Linked DNA regions of Arabidopsis thaliana. The protein of the gene in region 2 interacts with the protein of the main gene of each other region in a pairwise test. Each region holds a gene or a part of one and is shown on either strand. Other genes may lie near its edges. The genes, in order: PRA1.E, AT2G25890, TPI and AT5G56100.

Evidence for each region.
Region 1: the proteins of AT2G25890 (region 2) and PRA1.E interact in a protein complementation assay, tested with the Arabidopsis thaliana proteins (one large-scale study listed by BioGRID).
Region 3: the proteins of AT2G25890 (region 2) and TPI interact in a protein complementation assay, tested with the Arabidopsis thaliana proteins (one large-scale study listed by BioGRID).
Region 4: the proteins of AT2G25890 (region 2) and AT5G56100 interact in a protein complementation assay, tested with the Arabidopsis thaliana proteins (one large-scale study listed by BioGRID).

The regions. Positions count from the first base shown.
Region 1 is NC_003070.9:2,806,488-2,811,227, reverse strand, and holds PRA1.E (prenylated RAB acceptor 1.E), read right to left. Parts: upstream 2,469-4,740; 5' UTR 2,296-2,468; coding exon 1,666-2,295; 3' UTR 1,453-1,665; downstream 1-1,452. Other genes in the region: AIP3 (ABI3-interacting protein 3), read left to right, coding at 102-113, 202-318, 1,043-1,303; AT1G08760 (GPI-anchored adhesin-like protein, putative (DUF936)), read right to left, coding at 2,819-3,686, 3,826-3,917, 4,171-4,470. UniProt on the Arabidopsis thaliana protein: May be involved in both secretory and endocytic intracellular trafficking in the endosomal/prevacuolar compartments.
Region 2 is NC_003071.7:11,034,226-11,039,111, reverse strand, and holds AT2G25890 (Oleosin family protein), read right to left. Parts: upstream 1,810-4,886; 5' UTR 1,753-1,809; coding exon 1,228-1,752; 3' UTR 933-1,227; downstream 1-932. Other genes in the region: AUR2 (ataurora2), read left to right, coding at 2,102-2,314, 2,760-2,867, 2,958-3,104, 3,201-3,296, 3,378-3,473, 3,566-3,662, 3,751-3,868, 3,964-4,036 and 1 more; AT2G25870 (haloacid dehalogenase-like hydrolase family protein), read right to left, coding at 4,810-4,886.
Region 3 is NC_003074.8:20,550,614-20,557,688, reverse strand, and holds TPI (triosephosphate isomerase), read right to left. Parts: upstream 4,287-7,075; 5' UTR 3,896-4,286; coding exon 3,857-3,895; intron 3,530-3,856; coding exon 3,454-3,529; intron 3,164-3,453; coding exon 3,040-3,163; intron 2,696-3,039; coding exon 2,611-2,695; intron 2,517-2,610; coding exon 2,384-2,516; intron 2,206-2,383; coding exon 2,111-2,205; intron 2,001-2,110; coding exon 1,922-2,000; intron 1,836-1,921; coding exon 1,753-1,835; intron 1,662-1,752; coding exon 1,611-1,661; 3' UTR 1,129-1,610; downstream 1-1,128. Other genes in the region: AT3G55430 (O-Glycosyl hydrolases family 17 protein), read left to right, coding at 5,685-6,146, 6,996-7,075.
Region 4 is NC_003076.8:22,714,350-22,719,198, reverse strand, and holds AT5G56100 (glycine-rich protein / oleosin), read right to left. Parts: upstream 2,283-4,849; 5' UTR 2,079-2,282; coding exon 1,626-2,078; 3' UTR 1,350-1,625; downstream 1-1,349. Other genes in the region: MYB80 (myb domain protein 103), read right to left, coding at 1-8; COX15 (cytochrome c oxidase 15), read right to left, coding at 2,594-2,770, 2,850-2,981, 3,057-3,167, 3,261-3,506, 3,599-3,824, 3,940-4,238, 4,383-4,565.

The DNA.
Region 1 (4,740 bases), on a different chromosome or scaffold from region 2:
CTAGCCTCTAATAAAAATCGGTCGGGAAAGAAACTCACAACTCTCTCTCACACAGCAACGTTCTATTGAAATTTGGCCTGAATCCCCAGAGTGCGACGAAAATGCAGCAGCAAGTAAGAAAATCATCTCGAATAGGAGTAATTTATTTTGTTAGCATCTTCTTCAATTGATGCTAATGGATGGTTGATGATGATGTTGCAGGGGAGTAAGAGTGGATCTGAGATGGAGGTGACATGGGAGGACCAGCAGAACATTAATATCTTCAGCCGTCTCAACAACAGAGTCCATGACCTCGATGACGATATCAAATCCGCCAAGGTTCTCTCTTTTATGTATCCTTGATTTTTTCTTCTACACGATTCTAGGGTTTTAAGATTAGGTTTTATTCATGGATTCAATTCGCTATGTTGCATCGTTTAGGTGGTGGAATACTGTGATTAGATCCAATCCCGTAATGAATTCACCAAATAATGAATCTACTACACATCGGTTTGCTCTCAGCTAACTGATTAACTCCTTGTTGATGAAATGAAATCAGCACTGCTACAACCCGATACAAAAGCTAATTACAATGATCCTGAGAGTATATGATAAGTGTTGTTGGTCTAGTGTAGGATCATGATTAAGATTATTTGAGATAATTCCTGATTTTATTGATTGTTGTAAATTGTAATTTTACTTCATTCAGATAACCCCACAAGAGAATCTCTATACTCTCATATCTCATTTTACATTCTCTTTAGGTTGTACCAATCTACTGTAACCTGCTTATACCATCCGTGCACTCTTACATATCACTGCTCCCTTAACTTTCTCCTTCGTTGGTGAATATAAGCCTGCTAGGGTATATCAGATCACTGTAATTAGATATTGTAATGGTGTTGATAGTTCAGCATGTGTAGGAAACAAAAAGGGAGATGTGGGACTTTGCAATAATAAGTGGATACTTGTCTTGTTCAATCGTTTCATTAGGGGGATTAAAACAGCATTCTACTGTGTGTTTCTGCATCTAGCTTGATTAAAAAACAATTGATTTATGCAGGAAAAGTGTGAAAATCTAGAGGATGCAGGGAACGAGTTGATCCTTGCTGATGAGGAGATGGTGCGTTTTCAAATAGGAGAAGTGTTTGCTCATGTGCCGAGGGACGACGTAGAAACAAAGATAGAAGAGATGAAAGAAGCGACCTGCAAAAGCCTTGAGAAACTCGAGCAAGAGAAGGAATCAATTGTAACACAAATGGCAGCGCTGAAGAAGGTATTGTATGCTAAGTTCAAAGATTCTATCAATCTTGAAGAAGACTAGTTAGTAGTTATTCCCAACTTTGTTTTTCTTCTATTGCATCAGTTTATGATTCTACTGTGAGTGTAGACCAAAGGATTCTTGAATTTAACATACTGGTTTTGTTCATTATGAAATTTCATCTGGTTAATGCATACTTTTCTTTTTCTATCGGAAATTATGTTTTTGGCAATTCTATAAAATACCATAACACCAATTTGTTTTTTCCCAGAATTTGTATACATTCAAACAAAATGAAACACACACGCCAAAATATAAATACAAGAATCTTTGGGAAATCCAAAATACAAAGCCCTAAATTGATTCCCTTAGCTTCTTCAATCAAAAACCCAAGAAATTACGAGTAATTCTCCAAACCGGTTTACTCAAATTGGGGTATAACTCGACGGTGGCCGGTTACCAGAACCGGCAGACACCAGGCCACCACGGCGAGCACTTTCTTCATCAAGAAACAAATCATCGGTATTACGAAAAGCGCCGTGAGCTCCGACGATGAGCAAACCAATGATCAGCGAAACCAGAACGTTTTCGCCCACATCTGTATATACCAATGCCAAAACCGTTACCAAGCTGAGTAAAACCAGCACGATCTTGTCATCTACTTCTTTCCCCGAAATCACAATCGAATCGTTTGCGTCTCGAGAGAAATAGAGAAGAATCCATCCGATGAAGACGACGATGAAAGCGATCATAGACATCGGATGGTAAATAAGGCCGAGGAAAACAATGGCGAGAACGGCGAGAGCGTAATTTCCACGGAAATAAGAGATGTTGTGCTTTAGATGCGCCATGGCTTCATCATACCCGCGAGGGAGAGAGAGCGCGGACAGATCGAGAATCTCTCGCCATGGACGGAGCGTCGTGATCATCGATTGCGTCGTCTGCTTGGCGCGTGCACTCAACGTCCCGATGATTGTGGTGTTGGAAGTGGAAGAAGGACCGACTCCTCCACCACCAGCGCCGCCATAACCGTACGGCGGAGGTTTCTGATTCATCGGAATTGGTTGATTTTGTGTTTGAAAATAACACAAATCTGTGGTCAAATGGCAAAACCTTGGATTTCAAAGAGTCCATGTGGAATATGGGATGATGGGAGGGACTTGTTCGGTGATTATTATTTTCTTTTGGGACCTTGTAGTTTTTTTATTATTACAAATAAACCATAAACAAATCAACTTTTACCGATCGCCTCTATTTCCACATAATCATGAATCGTCATAGTTTTTGTAAAATTACAGAATTGTGATGGATCTAAGTCTTCTAATGATATTTTTGTTTTTGCTGATCTTCTAATCTTTAATCGCTAGAGAAGAGATATCGTTATTAATGGATAAAAAATATGTTGAAATCTTTCGAACCAATAGGTTCTCTTTAGTGAGTATCTGACTGAATAAAAAATACCAACATTTCACGTCGGTAGGCTTCTTAGTGATGCCTGAATTATACAGAAGAAATTGACCGCCAATTTTCATATATACAAGAAAAAAAAAAAACAAGTAGAAGCTTCTTCATCATCATTTATCTCTTTGCTTTGGTTTCGATTGGTTTAGGTCTAGGAGAAGAGACTGAGCCACCACCACCACCAAGTGCTGCAGCTGCTGACTCCACATGTGTGAGCAGATACTCGTAGATCTTCTTCCGTAATCGATCGATTGTTTCCTTAGAGACTTCTTGTAACCCTTCTTCATCCTCTTTCGATCCAATCTCGTCTAACCAATCATTCACACTCTTCAGCTGAGACAGCATCCCCGCAATCTGCCCATTATCAGACAGACTGAGACTGGATGATGTAATCACGTCAGCGTCTAAGAATCTCTCTACGAAACCCAAAAACCAATCTTGTGAAACCATTTGCAACTTCTCTGCCAGATCAGTTGCCTCGTTTAGACCATTCCCTTTCACCCAGTTTAACGGTGGAGACTCTGACCCTGCTACCGAGGTGGCTTTCTGGCTGCTACTGTTCTCCCTGTGTTTACGGATCATTCCTTGTGCTACGAGTTTAGATCCAATCGTTGGCTTGTTTTGAATATTCCCACGGGTTTTACTAGAGGAATTATTACCCGGGCTCTCGAGTATGATCACGGGTTTGCTCCTGGAGGCAGCAAGTTTGGCTTGTTTGCTGGAGTAGACAGAGAAGGGCGATAAGTTAGTGACTAACGCAGCTTGGACCCATGAGGCTGCCAATTTCTGCTTTTCCGATGCCGCTTTTATAGCTTCCTCGGATCTGTTTTCTTCATTATCTGGGGAGGACATCAAAGAGAGTAATTTGGACAATGACTCTGTTATTACTTGGACGTTTTTCAAACCGGAATGGAGCTTCAAGAACTGCTCAACGACTGGCAATGGATCATCTTCCTTCGCCGTTGACAAAAGATCGGAGTACATACTACAAAAAGGAAAAGCAGAACAAAGTTCAGAAACCACCAAGGCAGTAACAATAACATTCAGATACAAAAAACATTTATGTTTTGTCCCTCAAACATCCAAAGCCGGCCTGAATAAAACTTGGTTAAGATATTACGCACATGAGGCACTGAAGTAAGCTCTCGGAAGCAGAGGCTTCTTGCAGGGCCTCTATTGCGACTACTTGAGCAGCTTCTCTATGCCTCAATACTTCCTGCAAATATTGATAGCAGCAATGACTCAATAAGCTGTCTTAATATTTAATCACGATGTCAAAGACCAAAACATAAGATGCATATGCTATACTAAGAGGTTCTCTTCAATCACCAGAGTAAATATGTTAGTTTGGATGATCGAATTTCTAAACTGCTTGTTTTGAAGATGAATTTTCTTAATCACTAGAAATGCTTCAAAGCCTATTAATGAAGCAAGCACATATAAGGATCCAAGAGCAGTCAAGGCCATACCTGTCCCATCCTCGAAAGAGATGGAGGGAGTGAACTCCATTGGATATTGGCCGCCGCTAATCTTTTACCATTAACAGAGACTTTGACCAAATTCCCAGGCAATCCATTCTCTGCAACAGATTTCTTCTCGACAGATGTAGATTTAGGCCTACTCGTTTTATCTTTGGTGTCCAACACTGCAGTTGGCTCGACTTTCTTGGTTGACTGTATCTTATTGTGCTCCTTCGATGATCTTGCAAATACATTAGCCCTCTCCTGTTTGCTTGGCAACTTCTCACTCGATGTGCTTCTCCGTGGAGCCTAGTAACCAAAAATATACAAGCTATATTCAGAAAATCGAAAACAGTAAACACTAATAACATTGTATGAAGTAACAGACGAATTCAGATGGAAAAACATGAGACTGATAGGAAAACAGACGAAAGTATAATACAAACTTAGATTCAGCAGATAGTAATGAATAGAACAAGTTTAACAATGCTCTCAAACAAGTGGTCTCAGCTTCAAGTCAAGTGCTGATGAATAGGAAATGACACTTTACATGTTTCTTTTGCAAATATAAAGCCAAGA
Region 2 (4,886 bases):
GCGGTGCTTACGTTCTGAATCTCTTTGTCGATGAGCTTGAAGATAGTTGATATTGGGATCGAGACTTGGTTGTGAACCACATCATTCCTTTGCTTCCACATATATCCTAACATTTATCTAAACAATCTGGTGCTAGAAGAAAGAGATTATCAAACTGATGCAATGACAAACTACGAAACACCACTCCATAACAAAAAAACTTAACCGTATATCGATCCTCAACTTTAGGAATAATCCTAACGCCGCACCCACCCGGCACCTGGCACCCACCACTTGAAAAATTCATAGCTCATGGCCAGTAGGGAACCGCGGAGGAAACTTACTCAGTCCATTGCGAGGATAAGGACAAAAGTACTCCTTCAATTATTCTAGAAAACCAATCAGACGTTGACAAAGAACCTCGTTTGAAAGTACAACTGCTCTACAAGACTGCATTGCCCACTACAAGCAGTGAATGTTGTCCACCCTCAGCTTCTTTATACGTTCGTGAAGCATGCATGTGCATTTTGTTGGTGCGCGCATAGTAAGCCATGCCATGCAATTCAATGCCAATGGTTTACGAACATATAGACAAGTAAAGTTTTCAATTATTTCATGAGTACCTAAAAACCACATTCATAGAACAGTTTGCAAGTATTCGAAATTTGGGAAAACATGCATACGACCTCACCGCATCTCTCAAAGGCCGAATACAATTTTTGAGGAATGATTAAACAAAGAAATATTTTTACAATCACACTAACTACAATACGTTCATGAAGACAACGTAAATGACACGAGCCATTTAGCGCAGCCTTCGAAATTTATTTAGCGAGTATAGATAAAGTGGTTCAAGCCTTGGTATTGATACACAAAATTCACAAACCTTGCAATTTTCTTTTTGAACATAAAAACAACAATATTATTTCAAATCAAACGGACCACACTCAAAACTACATTTACATATACCAAGAAAGCCACCATATAATTCTAGAAGCCAGACGGTGACCAAGTAATTGGCATTTATTAATTTACTTAATTCGTTATCATCTTTCCTTACACTAGCTATTTCACAATCATAAAACAGAAAATACCGATCAGCAATTAAACACACAAAAAATTGTATGGAAAATAGAAAATAAAATTTTAGATAGATCTTTTCAAAAAGGTAAGAACAGTATTAAAAAAACATACGTAGGATAATCATAAAACTTAATACAACATATAGATCCATATAATTATTAAACTCTAATGAGTAGTTGTTGTGGTTTGGTGTGTTTGTTGTGGCTGCGAGTGCGTATAATGTCCCAACTCTTTGGCTTTCTCCGCTATCCTCATCCTCGCGTAATCCACCTTATCCGCTCCCATCGGGTGTTTTCCGGTAACGTACTTATAAATCCACGTTAACGCCGTAGCTGCTGCCACCCCACAACCACCGGAGAATAGGAATCCCATCGTCAAAAGCCCTATCGTTATCACTGCCGGTACCAACACCGGGCTGAACAGAACCATCAACGGCGTCGCTACGATCAAACCGATCACCGTTCCGGTTAGTGTTAGTCCTGAGAGCACGAGGAGTGATAGGCCGATCGTAGCTGCCGTTACGAATCTCACTATCTGCCGAGTCGATGGTGATGATTCATGGAGACTCCTCATTATTGGTTGTTGTTGTTGCTGATGTTGTTGATGATCCGCCATTTCTTTTTTTCTTTTTCTAAGAGAGTATGGATTTAATGTTCTATGTTGTTTTTGTAGCTTTAATAAGCTTACCATTTGTGATTATTATGAAGAATGAAAATAGACTAGTATGAAGGAGAGGCTAAACTTAAACGAGACATGTGTCGAACGACGAGGCGTGTTAGGCAATGGAGAAGAGTGTCACGCGGGCGTGTCAGTTCTGCATGGAGCTACTTTGACGAGGTACTGACACGTGGTTACTTAGTTCCGAATTAAAATCTCATCGTCAAACGATCTTGAAGCTTATTGGGCTATTATCTGGGCTTGTAGTGACTGTATATTATCCTAGTGATTATGAAGTTGGAATACCGTGGGCTTAATAATATCTGGGCCTGTAGCGACTGTATCATCTCGGGAGACAAATTATTTGAAAATAAAAACCTCGATGCAGATGTATCAACACGTGGCAGCATCTGGATTCGACCGTTGCTGCTTTGCTGGTGGTTTACGTTTTTTCCCCTTTTTAAATTTCTCAATTTGGATCTGTTCCCTTTGTGAAAATTACTCTCTCTTCTCTCTTTCTTTCTTCTCTTTCTCTCGCTATCTTGGCTCATCAACGATCTCTTCCATGGGGATTTCTACAGAGACGCAGCAAATTGTAAGAAAATAACTTGTTCTTGGTTTCACAAATTCCAATTTCATTTGGTTCTTTTGTCGAATTTGTTTCAATTTAGGGTTTTACTTCCTTGTTGGTTTGCGTTTTTTCTCTGCGTTTGGTCTGTTCTAATGGAATGTGATCTGGGATTATCGATTTGGTTGCTTGATTTTCTTTGCGCCAGAAAGAATCTTGTTTCAATGTTCTCTGTTTAATTTGAGAAAGACTTGTTGGTATGATTTTGAGAAATTTCATGATATGATTGTGGATTTATTCGTTTACAGCGAGGACCCTAGATTAATTGACAAATCCGTGGATTAGTGTTAAGGAGCTGTTGATTTTATCCTTTTATCTTCAAGTTTTAAAGTATCAATGATTGTTTGTCGTTTATGATTAAGTGTATCTGAGAGTTGATTGGATTTCAATCTTTGTGATAATGTTGTATCAGGCGGCTTCAGAGGCTGCACAAAAGAGATGGACTACAAGCGATTTCGATATCGGAAAGCCACTTGGTAGAGGAAAGTTTGGCCATGTTTATCTAGCAAGAGAGAAACGGGTTAGTGTTTCTTCACAATTATGTTAAACAAGCAGAATTAATTTGATGTCTTTTTTAACCAAGCTGTCTTCTATGTGTCTTTGCAAACAGAGCGATCACATTGTGGCTTTAAAGGTTCTTTTTAAGGCTCAGCTTCAACAATCTCAAGTTGAACACCAGTTACGAAGGGAAGTAGAGATTCAATCTCATCTTCGGCATCCCAATATTCTGCGGCTCTACGGTTACTTCTATGATCAGGTTTTGTGTTATCTGTGCTTGTAAAAGAACTTCTTGTTGACATACAATGTTTGGCTCTGTGAGGTTAACATAGTTTTTGGGATACCGTTGTTGCAGAAAAGAGTTTATTTGATTTTGGAGTATGCTGTAAGGGGTGAGCTTTATAAAGAGCTTCAGAAGTGCAAGTACTTCAGCGAACGTCGAGCAGCAACTGTAAGTCCTAGTGATAATTGAACTTATTCTAGCATGTTAATGTGAATCTGTGTAGTCATACCCTTACGTTTATTGTGGCAGTATGTTGCGTCATTGGCTAGAGCCCTCATCTATTGCCATGGAAAGCATGTAATTCACAGAGATATAAAACCTGAAAATCTGTTGATTGGTGCTCAGGTAACAAATTGAATCTGGTTATCTTTCTCCATCAACGCCATGTGATTGCAGTTAGCTTATGTGTTTATGTATTCATGGATATATGTTTTCAGGGTGAGCTCAAGATTGCAGATTTTGGATGGTCAGTACACACATTCAACCGTAGAAGGACTATGTGTGGCACTTTGGATTACCTTCCACCTGAGATGGGTAAGAGAAAGCTCTCTCTCTCTTGTGTGATTCTAAATTACTTTCTTCGGCAACCAGCTAATTGACTTTTCTGCTTTTGGATTCACAGTGGAAAGCGTTGAACATGATGCGAGTGTCGATATATGGAGTCTAGGAATTCTCTGCTACGAATTTCTTTATGGTGTTCCTCCTTTTGAGGCCAGGGAGCATTCAGAGACATACAAAAGGTAACATGTTCATTAAGCGTAGAATGGGATTAGTATATGATGTTTGGTCAGTGGAATGTACATTAAAGAAGGGTTTTGTTCGACAAATGATACAGGATTGTTCAAGTGGATCTCAAGTTCCCTCCCAAACCCATTGTGTCATCATCTGCAAAGGACCTGATTAGCCAGGTTTCTACTCGCATTCCTCGTAAATCTCTCTAAGTGTTTGTGCATTTGAAGAGTGAATTCTGATTTTCACACTTTCTGATCAAACAGATGTTGGTTAAGGAGTCTACGCAACGTTTGGCCTTGCACAAGCTTCTTGAACACCCGTGGATTGTGCAAAACGCAGACCCATCAGGCCTTTACAGAGGATGAAGCGATGAAGCTAGGAAAAGATTTAAGATTGCATTCTTGGCACTTTGCACCACTTACTGCAAAAAGTCTGACCATTTCATAGTTCTATATATGTAATTGCTGTGTTCCAAAAGTATTTGTACTACATTTTTCTACGAAGTTTATATAGCCACAAGATTCGTGTAACTTTACTCCAATTATTTTCGAATCCTACATCACTTTTTAAATAAAAATTGTTCGGAATGGTTTCAAACTTACAACAGCTTTTGTTCATCGGTAACTTATTCACCAATTGATTGGTTAACGTTAACTGATGTTACTGCAGGTAACCAAATGAGATGGATTTGTTCACAAGAGATCCGGAACATTTTTTATGTTGTAAGATGCAAAGGTGCAAAGGCAAACGAATGAAAGATTAACCGAACATGAACAAAACAACAAGAGACGCACTCTGCAATCAATCATTTTCCTTCAAAAGGTGGGTGAATGAGACAAGAATGACCAATGTTTGTCTTTTATCTGTAAGACAAAGAAGAAGAATAATGCCTACTTAACCTCAAAAATTTAATTTGGTGTATCTTGTACTTAAATATGGTGGTGGAGTCTCAGAATGCGTAGCGGTAGATGGCATCAGCAACACCATCTTGGTCGTTGCTCACACCAATCACATCAGCCACCGCCT
Region 3 (7,075 bases), on a different chromosome or scaffold from region 2:
AAAAGATCACTAATGATATATGTTTAAGATTCAAAATAACGTTTTTAATAGATATGACATCTGAGTCAGATGGTCATGAGATTTTGGAATCTTTAATAGGCCTGAAATAAATTCGCCGTGGTGGGGTTGGATACAAAAAGAAAGAAAAAAAAGGACAAATTTTGTCGAAAATGATAGATATTCATGTGATCATAGATATTTTCGATTTATATGCTTTGGGTGTGGAATGATGAAACAGATTCGGGTTTAGTAATAGTGGTCTCAAAAATGTTTATAAAAGTAGGTAAGAAAATATAAGATTTGTAAGAACTAAGAAAAATATCTACTTAACCAGGAATTAAATTAAAGTTTACAAGTAGGTAAGAAAAATAAGATTTTTCAGGAAAAAATTATGCTTGACTACATACGTATAATGTAATTAAATTTAGTATCATGGGATGGGACATAAGTTTTATAAATACAAGTTTTTAAAACAGAGAAATTTTTTACCAAAACTTGTTTTGAGTCATACGGACCCAAAATTACTCTATTGCTGAAATGATCGATGACTTAGTCAAACCTCCATTTCTAAGGTCACAATTGTTTGCTCGTTACGCAAATAAGTCCAAGGTCAACTATATAATATAATACTCATAAAAATTCAATCCCTACTTTCTTAAATATTACTCAGAAATAAATAAAATATAAGTCACCAGAAATGTGGGTTGACTTGGGAGATAATACGTTATCACATTTGTAGCTGAGTCACATATTGTGGAGTTTTTATTGGCACTAGTTGGATTTTCGTGGTCGGATCAAAATCCATACACATTTTCATCATACTGAGTCCAATTTTTTAATAAATGGTTTGAACAATTCTGACATACGGGAGCTCTTATTTTGGACTTAACCGTCTCTTTTACATTATCACTTTAGTTCCACTGAGCCGTTTTACTCAAATTACATAAGCATTTTGTTTTCTACAAACATTGACATTCCTAATACAATGAGTTTCTCCATGAAATTTCTTTTCCTTTTTTACTCTCTACATAATAATTTCGTAATGTTGGACATTTTTCAAGATGATGACAATAAAGTTGAAAATAATAATGTTCTAAAAGCTAAAATGTCAAAAATGACAGACCAATAGGCAAAAAGCGATAAAAGGGAAAAAATAAAGTCATTTCCCACTTCTCCTGTATTCTCTCGTCATTTATTTAACAAGTAAAGCCATTTTCAAAGTGGTTGACAGCATGATTCAGAGATCAAGCATGACAAAATACCAAAGTCTAAAATGGAACAAACAACATATTATATAACACACAGGTTTATGATCGGACGACATTAGAAATAGGGGTTTGATCAAAAGGCCCGAGGGGTTATGAACTCCAAACACAGATTCTCTGAAGAGTTGAGAAGACTGTAAAAGGAAGGGATTTGCAAATTGCAAGTCCACAGCTAAATAAATGGCGAAGAAAATGATTGTTGCGTTCTCAAAACAATATAGTAAGAGAGAAACTTTTGCCAAATACAACTGAAGCAAAATGTATCATATCATAATACCAACTTATTCATTTTTTCAGAGTTGCGACTGGAAAAGCAAAGGACTTTTAAATTGCTTAATGAGCTCATTAGGCACTTTTCTTCACCTCTGCGGCCTTAATGATGTCGATAAACTCAGGCTGCAAAAAGACCAAGAATGAAAACATTAGTCATGGTTTTGAAAGAGACAAACGAAAGATATCATTACAAGAGAAACCATATTATATGTACCTTTAGAGAAGCACCACCGACCAAGAAACCATCAACATCGGCCTGTCCACCTAGCTCCTTGCAGTTACCACCATTGACGGATCCTGATAATAATTTGCATAATCAAGCTAAGTAACATAGAAAACTATATAGGGGTGTTTAATTAAAGATCGTGTTATCATCTATCTACCTCCATAAATGATGCGGGTTGTAGCAGCGACATCAGCACTCACGTTCTTGGCCAGCCATTTCCTCAGCTCATCGTGTACCTGTTCATAAACGAAACAAGCTCTCGTAAGGAAAACAGCATTGGTTTTCCTATTAAATCATGACCATATGCAACACGTTACAGTGCAACTGCGCATCGAGAACCACTTACTTCTTGAGCTTGGGCTGGGCTAGCGACCTTTCCGGTTCCAATGGCCCACACTGGTTCATAGGCTATGACAACATTTGACCAGTTTGTCACCCGATCTGCCATTACCAACAAAAAGAGTTTTTTAGCCAACAAATATTTCTGTGGGGTTTGAATCACACACTAAGGGAGTATAGTGCGTAGAAACGGGCATCACTATCATCAAAACAGGTCTCACTGTAAACGAGAACGAACTGAGATAGCAAAAAGAGATTAAATGTTTGACAATATACATACCGGCAATAGCCTTGGTCTGGGCAGCCACAACATCCATGGTCGATCCAGCTTCCCGCTCCTCAAGAGTCTCACCAACACAAGCAATCACTTTCAAACCTTGAGCAAGTGCATAGGCAACCTTGTCTCCGACGAACTACAAATGTAGGATAGAGGTCAAAAACCAAAATCATGAATTTAAAAGCTATTTGAGTCTCCAGAAAATTATTTTATCATGTAAAGTCACCAACCTCGCTTGATTCATTAAGGATTGCCCTCCTTTCAGAGTGACCAAGGATAACCCATGGAATATCCAAGTTCACAAGCATCTCCGCACTAAAACACACAAATTACACAATGCATAAGAGCAGGAAATACAGGCACCACAGAATATATCTTTTCTTCCTATGAAAGCATTCCATAGACAGGTAAATCATATTACACCTACTTGTCTAACCAGGCACGAATCCAATCATGGTCTTACTACCAACTACTAGTTGTTTTCTTAATCACTTAGGTTACACAATTCTTATAGGAAAGAAGATAAAGAAGAAGAACAGATGGAAAAATCGATTCGTTTATAAACACAATCATATTCATTTTCAAAACCATAAATATTTACTGCATGAAGCAATAATGGTAAAACAGCTTAAAGTATACACCAATGGTTAGAATCTCACCTCACTTCACCAGTGAAAGCACCTCCTTTCTTAACCCAACAGTTTTGTGCCGCAACAAAAAAGTCAGACCTCAATGTGCTCTTAACCAGGGGAAGAAAAACATATGGAGGGCTAACCACAACCTCTGCATTTAGTAAAATTTCATCAAATTATTAATACAAGAACAAACATACTTATAACTATCAACAAAGATAGAACCATAACAAGTATATGATAAAGAACATTTTAACTAACAACAAACACTAGATCTATCCATGGTTCCTAAGAAGCATAAACACTATAGAACATCGATGTACATTGAAACAGGTTTGTAATTGTATGCCCAAAATATTTGTCACTACTTAAGATTTCATAGACATGGAAATTAAAAAAAAAGCCATAATGTCGTCAAAGCAATTGAGATGCTACACATACCTACAACATCCTGTGAAGGAACCTGAGCTTCATTAAGAGTGTTCACAATCTTCTTCACCTCCTCAGCAGTTCCGTTCTATATAAGATTACAAATTCAAATATTAACATGTTAAAATAGTTTAACCAACAAAATTAACACACGGATCCACCAAAGCTAGAACACGAGATATCAATTGAAGAAAAATTCCTACTCAAAATTTTGACAAAAAAAAACAACTAAGATCCGGCATAGAATCGACAAATCTGAACCATATGCATTACAATTCAAATTCCACCGCTACAAATAATGAAAAAAACCTTAGATCTTAAGATCGGGATTTTCCGATCTCTTTGACTTGATCGGGGAAGGATCAAGTGACAAGACTAATAATAAGGTGCGCAATAGAAGGTAAAGATCACTTACACATTTCCAGTTGCCTCCGACGAAGAACTTTCTGGCCATTATCTCAAATTTTTTTCAGGCGATGATCACGAGAGTCACAGATACGACGACGATGGAGAGAGCTGAAAAGATTAGATCGATAGTGTTCAGTGGCCGTTGTCTCTCGCAGGGGTCACTCATATATATATAAATAAAAATATACTCTCAACATTTTAGATTGGAAAAGACGCATATGTCTAGGGTATATGAGAATATTCCCTGAACGATTAGGAAAGTTGAGGATATTAAAGTAAATTAGGAGGGAGGATGAAATATTATGGACGTGTTGGCCAAGGTTTGGTCGGTGTACCGGGTGGGGTGAATAATAAGAATAGACAACGGCGTGGATAGTGATGCTGTTGTATGGGCTTTAGGCCCATTAAAGCAAGCACATCAATAAAACCCAAGTTTGGTTAAAGGAAAGCCTATTGAGATGATTCTGAAACCAAATTATATTTGTATTCCCTTAAAGATAAATTCTGTATTACGCAATTCTTTCTTTTTTTTTCTTTTTTTTTTTTGGTAAAAGTTTAAATCGTATTATGCAATTCTATATTGTAATGCCCCTTCTTGGATACAAATAGTGTGGAGAAGGAGAAAACTGTTGTAAGTTCTCAAGTTAAACTACTAAACCACCATGAGAGCATTGAGCCGGCTCACTTCAAACATTGTGGCATACTTCAACAAACATATTGTTAGTCTAAAGGGCTATCGAGTGGCATCGATTATTTTATGTGATATCATTAAAAAGTAACAATGGTAATTTGTTATTGCAAAAAATAAGGATGGGATTTAATTAAAAAAATACAAAATTACGTGGTTTGTGTGTGTGTGCAATGAGTGTAACCATGTCATTGAAAATGACAATAAACTGTTAACAATGAGACATGGACGCGGATCTTCTTTTCCCAAAGAAAGCATAACAAATGGCTAAAGCGTGTCGGTAAAAGTTACTTCGAATCAGCTTCCTCAACAACATCTTCATACTTCGAATCTCTTTGACTTTGGTCCGTAGTGTTCAAACTCCAAACTATTCCTCCTACAAACACGTGTCCAATGGGCCAATGGCATTATCCCAAACCGCGTCGATCTCTCTTCTTTTTCTTTTCACTTAATATTTAACCATATACATTTCGTTGATACATCAATATTACTAATCGATTTTTTTTTTAGTTTTAAGTTTAGCAGTAAAAACTCAGATAGTCTCCTTTGACCTCATTAAGAACATCTTTTAATAAACGTATCCAAGAAAAAACAACACTCGATCTCTCTTTTGTTTTCTTAACTTCACTTTAGTTCCTTTTTTTCAAATATAGTTCATCCGTATCTGGATAAAATTAGGATTGTAAAATTACGATTAACAAGAAAGAGGTATATTTTTAGATTAAACTTGGATAGTATGAGTATTTACCAGCCAAAAACCATTAAAGAAAAAGATGACAAATTGATTATCCAAACAAAAGCAGACTCTATAATTAGCCAAATTAATTAACTAAAGTTTCCACGGTCACAACAAAATCCACTTTTTCAATAATTTACAACGGCCTAAATTTAAGCCGACGCACATGAAAAACAAAGACAACACAAACTTCTTCTTTTATTTTGCTTTCCACAAAATCCAGCTGTTCCTCACTAAAAATATACACACGTATACGCTATACAAAACGGTCATATCTATTAATTTTTATTATAAATACTTTCTCGATAAGAATAAAAAAATCTATTCGTCGTAATAATAAAAACACAACTCAAACGATTCACGGGTTTCACTTGGAATCGTTTGGTTTTCTCATTTCCGAAATATAAAAAGATGGCCAAAGCGCCACCGTCAATCTCTCTTCTCCTCCTCCTCTGCGCCGCCGTATTCCTCACCATCCCCGCCGTGATCTCCGCCATCGGTGTTAACTACGGAACTCTCGGAAACCTCCCACCACCGACTCAGGTGGCTAACTTTATCAAGACACAAACTTCGATTGATAGCGTCAAGATCTTCGATGTGAATCCCGATATCCTACGTGCCTTCGCTGGAACTGGTATCTCCGTCGTTGTCACCGTTCCTAACGGTGATATTCCGGCGTTGGCTAACGGAAGACAAGCTCGTCGGTGGGTTTCGGTTAACATTTTGCCGTTTCATCCTCAGACGAAGATTAAGTATATCTCAGTCGGAAATGAGATTCTGCTCACCGGAGATAATAACATGATCAATAATCTCTTACCGGCGATGAGGAATCTTAACAACGCTTTGGTTCGTGCTGGTGTCAGAGATGTTAAGGTCAGCTTTCTCTCTATTTTTCAGATTTTTCTATTTTAAGGAATAAGTAGAATATTTGTTTGGTTTTGGTAAATAAAATTAAAGTTAAGTTTGATGTTCATTATTGTATAAATTTCAGATAAAAAATTTTGAAATCTCAACTTTGAATTTGATATTTGCTAGTGGGAAAGTTTTTTTTTTTTTTGTTTACTTAACTTTTTTACCTAGTTTTAATTTTCTTTAACTAAAAGAAATTGTAATTATTAATAGTGAATTGATGATTGGCGTGAAAAATGCACTGTTTTTTTTTCTTTCCCTTTTTTATATCAGAGATAATGCATTGATTGCGCATATGTATAAAGTTGAAAAACAACGTTGAAAAAAATATGCAAAACAAAAATTGATTATTTTGAAAAATTAGATTCAATCTCTATTTTTTCGTCTGTTATCTAACTTGAAATCCAAAATTTCACGCAAACGTAGAATGTTGCGTTTGCTTCTTTCTTTTTTTCATCCAACTTGTATATTGTTAGTTTCTTAAAAAGAGGAAAAAAATAAATTCCCAAAGCAAAATTCAAAGATTTGAAACTTGAAAATGTTAGCGATTGGATTAAGATCTGACCATTTAGACTATCCCACGTGCTTATCTCATCACCGTCCAAGGTTATCCTATTGTCCTTAGATTCGTTCATCTGTCTGCCATGCCTTATGTTTCCTTTATTACATCATGATATATGTGATCCTAGGTAAATGAGATAATGTACCAATTTCATAGGAAATTTAGACCAACATGATTATCATATGAAAATTGTTGGAGATTGGTAGGTAACAATTGATTCTAATACTACTATTTGTTGCAATTGATCTCAGGTTACAACCGCACACTCACTTAACATCATAGCCTATGACCTGACCGGTGCACCAAGCAGCGGTAGATTCAGGCCGGGTTG
Region 4 (4,849 bases), on a different chromosome or scaffold from region 2:
CGACCCATTTCTTCTTTCTTTCTTTCTAGTTTTTATCTCTTGATCGATTTGATTACTCTTTACTTAATTTACTAACGAGAAAAAAGAAAATTTGGTTAAGAAATGAAAAAAACTTATATATATCAAAGATTGCCCCACCCAAAGAATTAAAACTGCCAAACTTTTGATTTTTGTACTTTCTTGTAATCAAGGCTTTTAAATTGCAAAAGAAGAAAGGAAATGTATGTATATATATAATAAAATTGATTTAACAAAAATGAAAACATAGTAAAAATTAGCATCAGATGTGCATGAATTGATTAAACTCTTTAAAGAATTCAACGCTACAGAGCGTGTGATTCCCTTAAGCCGGTAGGTCACCCACTCAACGCCTGGTCAACTCCTTTTACATTCAGATTATTCACCCATAAAATTATATTCTTCATATATTTACACTTAGATTATATAATTCTTCTGATATTCTCTATGCAAACTCCAACTTTTAAACATTTTGGGGATTGGTAGAACGACTTGGATAACAAACTAGCCTTTGGATTATGAAGTGAAATTGTACTCTTTTTTAATATAATTTGTGATCATATTGAAGTTATGACACGATTTTTTTTAAAAAGTTATGACAACTTTTTTTTCATTTTGTAAGGGAATGTATTCGTGAAGTACCGACAAGTACGGAGAATATTGCGAAAGCGTTCGTGTGCATTAGTGAGACTATGAGAGCATTCGTGAAAAGCACAGAATCTTGTAGAAGTACCTTTTTCGCGTACGAACTTGTACCTTTTGTTCTAAATCACGAAGGACCCTACTTGTGTCATCTTTTGTTGTAAACAAGTAGTGGTAAATCCACATTATTACAAACTTGAATATCGATCAAAATGTAAATATATAGTAATATTTATGGAATAGATATAGTAGTATACTTTTGAATTTGAAAATTAGATGAGAGACACTTATAAAATTCTTAGACTTCTAATTCAAAATCAATTGATAATTAATACATTATACTTTACAGACATATATGTATTTATCTTGTTAACATTGGAAAATTAGTTTCAGTTTCTCTGTAATAGTTATCTAAGGCTTTTTATTTTTTTTTGGCCATAGAAGCTCCTTGCCCCCAGCTTTGTAAATAACCTCTTTCCTTTTGGTAATATAATTCACATTTTATCAAAAAAAAAAAAAAAAAATTGGAAAACTATGTTTTCGATAATATGGATAATAATCCGGATAATGTGGATTTGGATAATTCAAACAATTCAGATAGACATGGTGATTGTACTTCGGATAATCCATCCCCCACAACTTGTGATTAATTTTATCTTTGAAAATTATTATATCAATTAAACTTAACAATCTGTTTTGACCTAAAGAAACTTACAATTTATTTATTCTATTATTTTTGGTTTTCATCTGTTTGCTATTTGTCTTGACTTGGGAAAAAACACAACTTGAAAAAAATGATATAGCATTACTAGATTTTCTTTGGATAGATATTACAAATTTTCACTCTCGAAAAAATCTACTTAATTTTGTTTTCTTATCATAGCCATGTCTCTGTTTTTTTTTGTTTCTTTATTCACCATCTTCTTGAAATTCCCATGAATCATGAGACTTTTTCCAAGTTTGAACTAAGAAGAAGAGTAATCCCGAGAAGAAGGAGAAGAAGTTGAATAACTATCCTCTGATTTGTCTCGCAAGTAACGACTCCGACCGTAACCTAATTCTCTCACCACCGACTCAACCATCCTCCCAGCCAGTCCGGTTTCAATACCAATCTCTCGGCCACAACATACCAAAGCGGCTATTCCCATCATCCACATGGCTGCAGCTACCCCAACACCAACCATAGCCGACACAAGAACCGCTACCGTTACCATAAAAGCTGGAGCAAATATCAGCAGCAATGGAGAAGCGATCAGAAACAGAGTCACCGTCGCCACAAAGCTGAAACTCATCAGACCAAAAAGCGGTCCTACCACTGCAACAGCTGCTACGGTTGCAGCCACAACCGAAGAACCGGTCGTTCTTTCTCCATCGGTTATGGCTATGTCTCTTCTTCTCCTTCCTCCAGGATTCTCCATAGTAGTAGTGTGAAGTTGAACAAAGAATTTTGTACCATGGCTATATAGAAAGGAAGATGGTAGGCTACTGACACGTGGATACCGATAAGCTACAGTATTACGACACGTGGATAGTCTTGTATATCCAAAACGCCAAAAAACTGTCTCGAAACATTATCCACAACCACAAGGCTTACGGATTTGAACCGGACTGAATTAACCGAATCGTATCTAAACTAAAACCGAACTAAAATTTACCACTGAACCAAATTGGTATAAGAAATTATTGACTCTAAAACTAGAATTATCCAATGATTTTCTATTGGCAATGAAACAAACAACACGAAGCTATCAATGAAAGTTATCAGAGTTCTGGGATTCATATGAAACTTTTGTTAATTGTTTTTGTACTTTATTTTTCGAACCATACAACATCATTGACACAAGATTCGATGAAAGCTTGCTAGTAGCATAGTGAGCCAAAGAATTGTTTTTTTAGTAAATAATGAAAAAGGAAAGATTTTGGTGAAGAGGGCTTAGCTGAAATTTGATTTAGCAACTTGTGGAAGAGATTTGAGAAGAGAAGGTGATGGCCTCCGAAGAGTGTGATTGAGAAGTAGCATCAAAGTGAGAAGTGTTAAAGCTCCTGCTTGGTGTGCACTTCCTAGTGAAACCGGAACATAACTCAGAAGCGTTGATACACCTAATGTCACCTGCAAAATACAAAAAGGGAAACCTTATCAATGGTTTTGATTTTAGGTTTCCATTAAAGTTTATGATGATTGATTTTACCTGAACAGCAGTCATTCCAACAGTACTTCCGATCAAAGCTTTAACAGCTGGATGTATGTCTAGCTTCCTTGTGAACCACCACATTGTTCCGATTGCGATTAATGTTGTGGTTGCCAGAAGGCGATGATCAAGCTGAAATTTAAGTAATTTTTCAGTCTTTTTGAGATTCTTGAAGCAAATTGAGAAAGCTTTGTGTCAATGGTGTACCTGAACAGTTGCTGTGTTCTCGAAAAAGTTGCGTAAAAGTGGTTTCATCTCAAATATATTATCTGGGATCCATGTGTCACCCATTTTGGGAAATGTGTTGAATGCACGACCCTAAAATTCACAAACAGAGAGATCAATATACTAAGCTTCCTTTCTGTAACTAATATAATAGAAGCTTAGATCCAACTTTGTTAGTTTACTTACAGCATCATTTCCAGCAACAAATGCTCCTGAAATTGCAGTGATACCAACAATCAAGCTTACTGGTAATGCAAGCTTCTTCACTTTAGCTGCTCCGCGAACCCAAGCCAGTGACTCAGCTGGTGGTTCAGGCATAACAACAGAGAGAGCGGTCCAGAAAAGTCCACAATAAATGGCAAAAGCTGAGGTCAGGTGAGCTGCAAGACGGTATGGGCTTACCCTCGGTTGAGAATACTCAGACGGTGGCTCCTACAAGACCAAACTGATTACTGGTTGGTTACACAATATTCAGCACATAACAACATCTAATAAGAGGATCTACCACACTTCCTAATGCTTACCTCTAAACCACTTTTAACCATCCACCAACCAATGAAACCTTGTCCAGCACCAAGCGCAAATAAACCAGAGAGCTGAACTCCAAGACGTAGAGTAATATACCCTTTACGCAGAAAATAAGAAAACGGCAAAGCAAACATGATTCCCAATCCTCTTCCCCACATTCGATGAGCATACTCCATCCAATATATGAACTTAAAATCTTCAAGGTTCATCCCTTTGTTCACACTACAAAACACCAAATCCCAAAACACAAACAGCATTTTCAAGATCAAGACTTCGTCCAAATACAGAAAACGCAAATGCAAGCAACAGCTTTAGCTACCAAAATCGAAACACTAACCGCTTATATTCAGGTGACTGCTTATATTTCTCAAACTCCTTAGCCCAAGCTTCATCTGACAGAGGAGGGAATTCACCAGTAAATTTCCAATCAGTCATCGATAAACCAGATCGAGTTAATCGGGTTACACCGCCAAGTACAACCATGCTGAAAACCCAAGCAGCCGAACCAAAAAGCCAAATTCCAACCCATTTCTGAGCTTGAGGTCCTCCAGTGACAAGAAGCTTCAAACCCTCTTTACTCTCTGAGCTTATCGACGCTACAGTTGACATCCTCCTAAACATTGAAGCATTTTGACCCTACACAAAACATAATCCTGATCAGAGCCCAATCTCAGGATCCTCTAAAAGTAACCAAAAATCTCAAGTTTAACATAACCCTGATCAAAAGTCTCAACCTTTAACGAAAAAGTATCAACCTTTTTGGGAAATTATTCACACTACCTTGAGCAGAGATCGCAAGCCATAGAAGGAGTTTCCAGCTAAAGGAGAAGACGAAGCAGAGGTTACAGAAGCAGCTGTAATGTTAGAAGTGAAAACTCGATGAGACGAAGTGGTGAATCCTCGAGCAATTCCATTAAACGCTTCTTTGTTCCTCTTCAGAGCCGATCCAACCGCCCGAAACATCTCTATCTCTCTAGGGTTTAAGCAAGGTTTTTGCGTTCAGGCGACAAAAAGTATGGCAAATCAAATCTCATTCTGCAACTTCGACCCGACCCGAATATTTCCGGGTTCGGGTTTTGCTGTGGTGGCTATATGGTAGACACTAACAATGTCCGGGTATAAAAACGACACGATGTGTTGAACGAAAACAGGAAACAACATACATCAATAGCAAAAAAACAATTAATTTTTTTTTTCCTTTAATTTTTTATGATAAAAAAAATAATTTTTTTTTTTTTTATCTGACT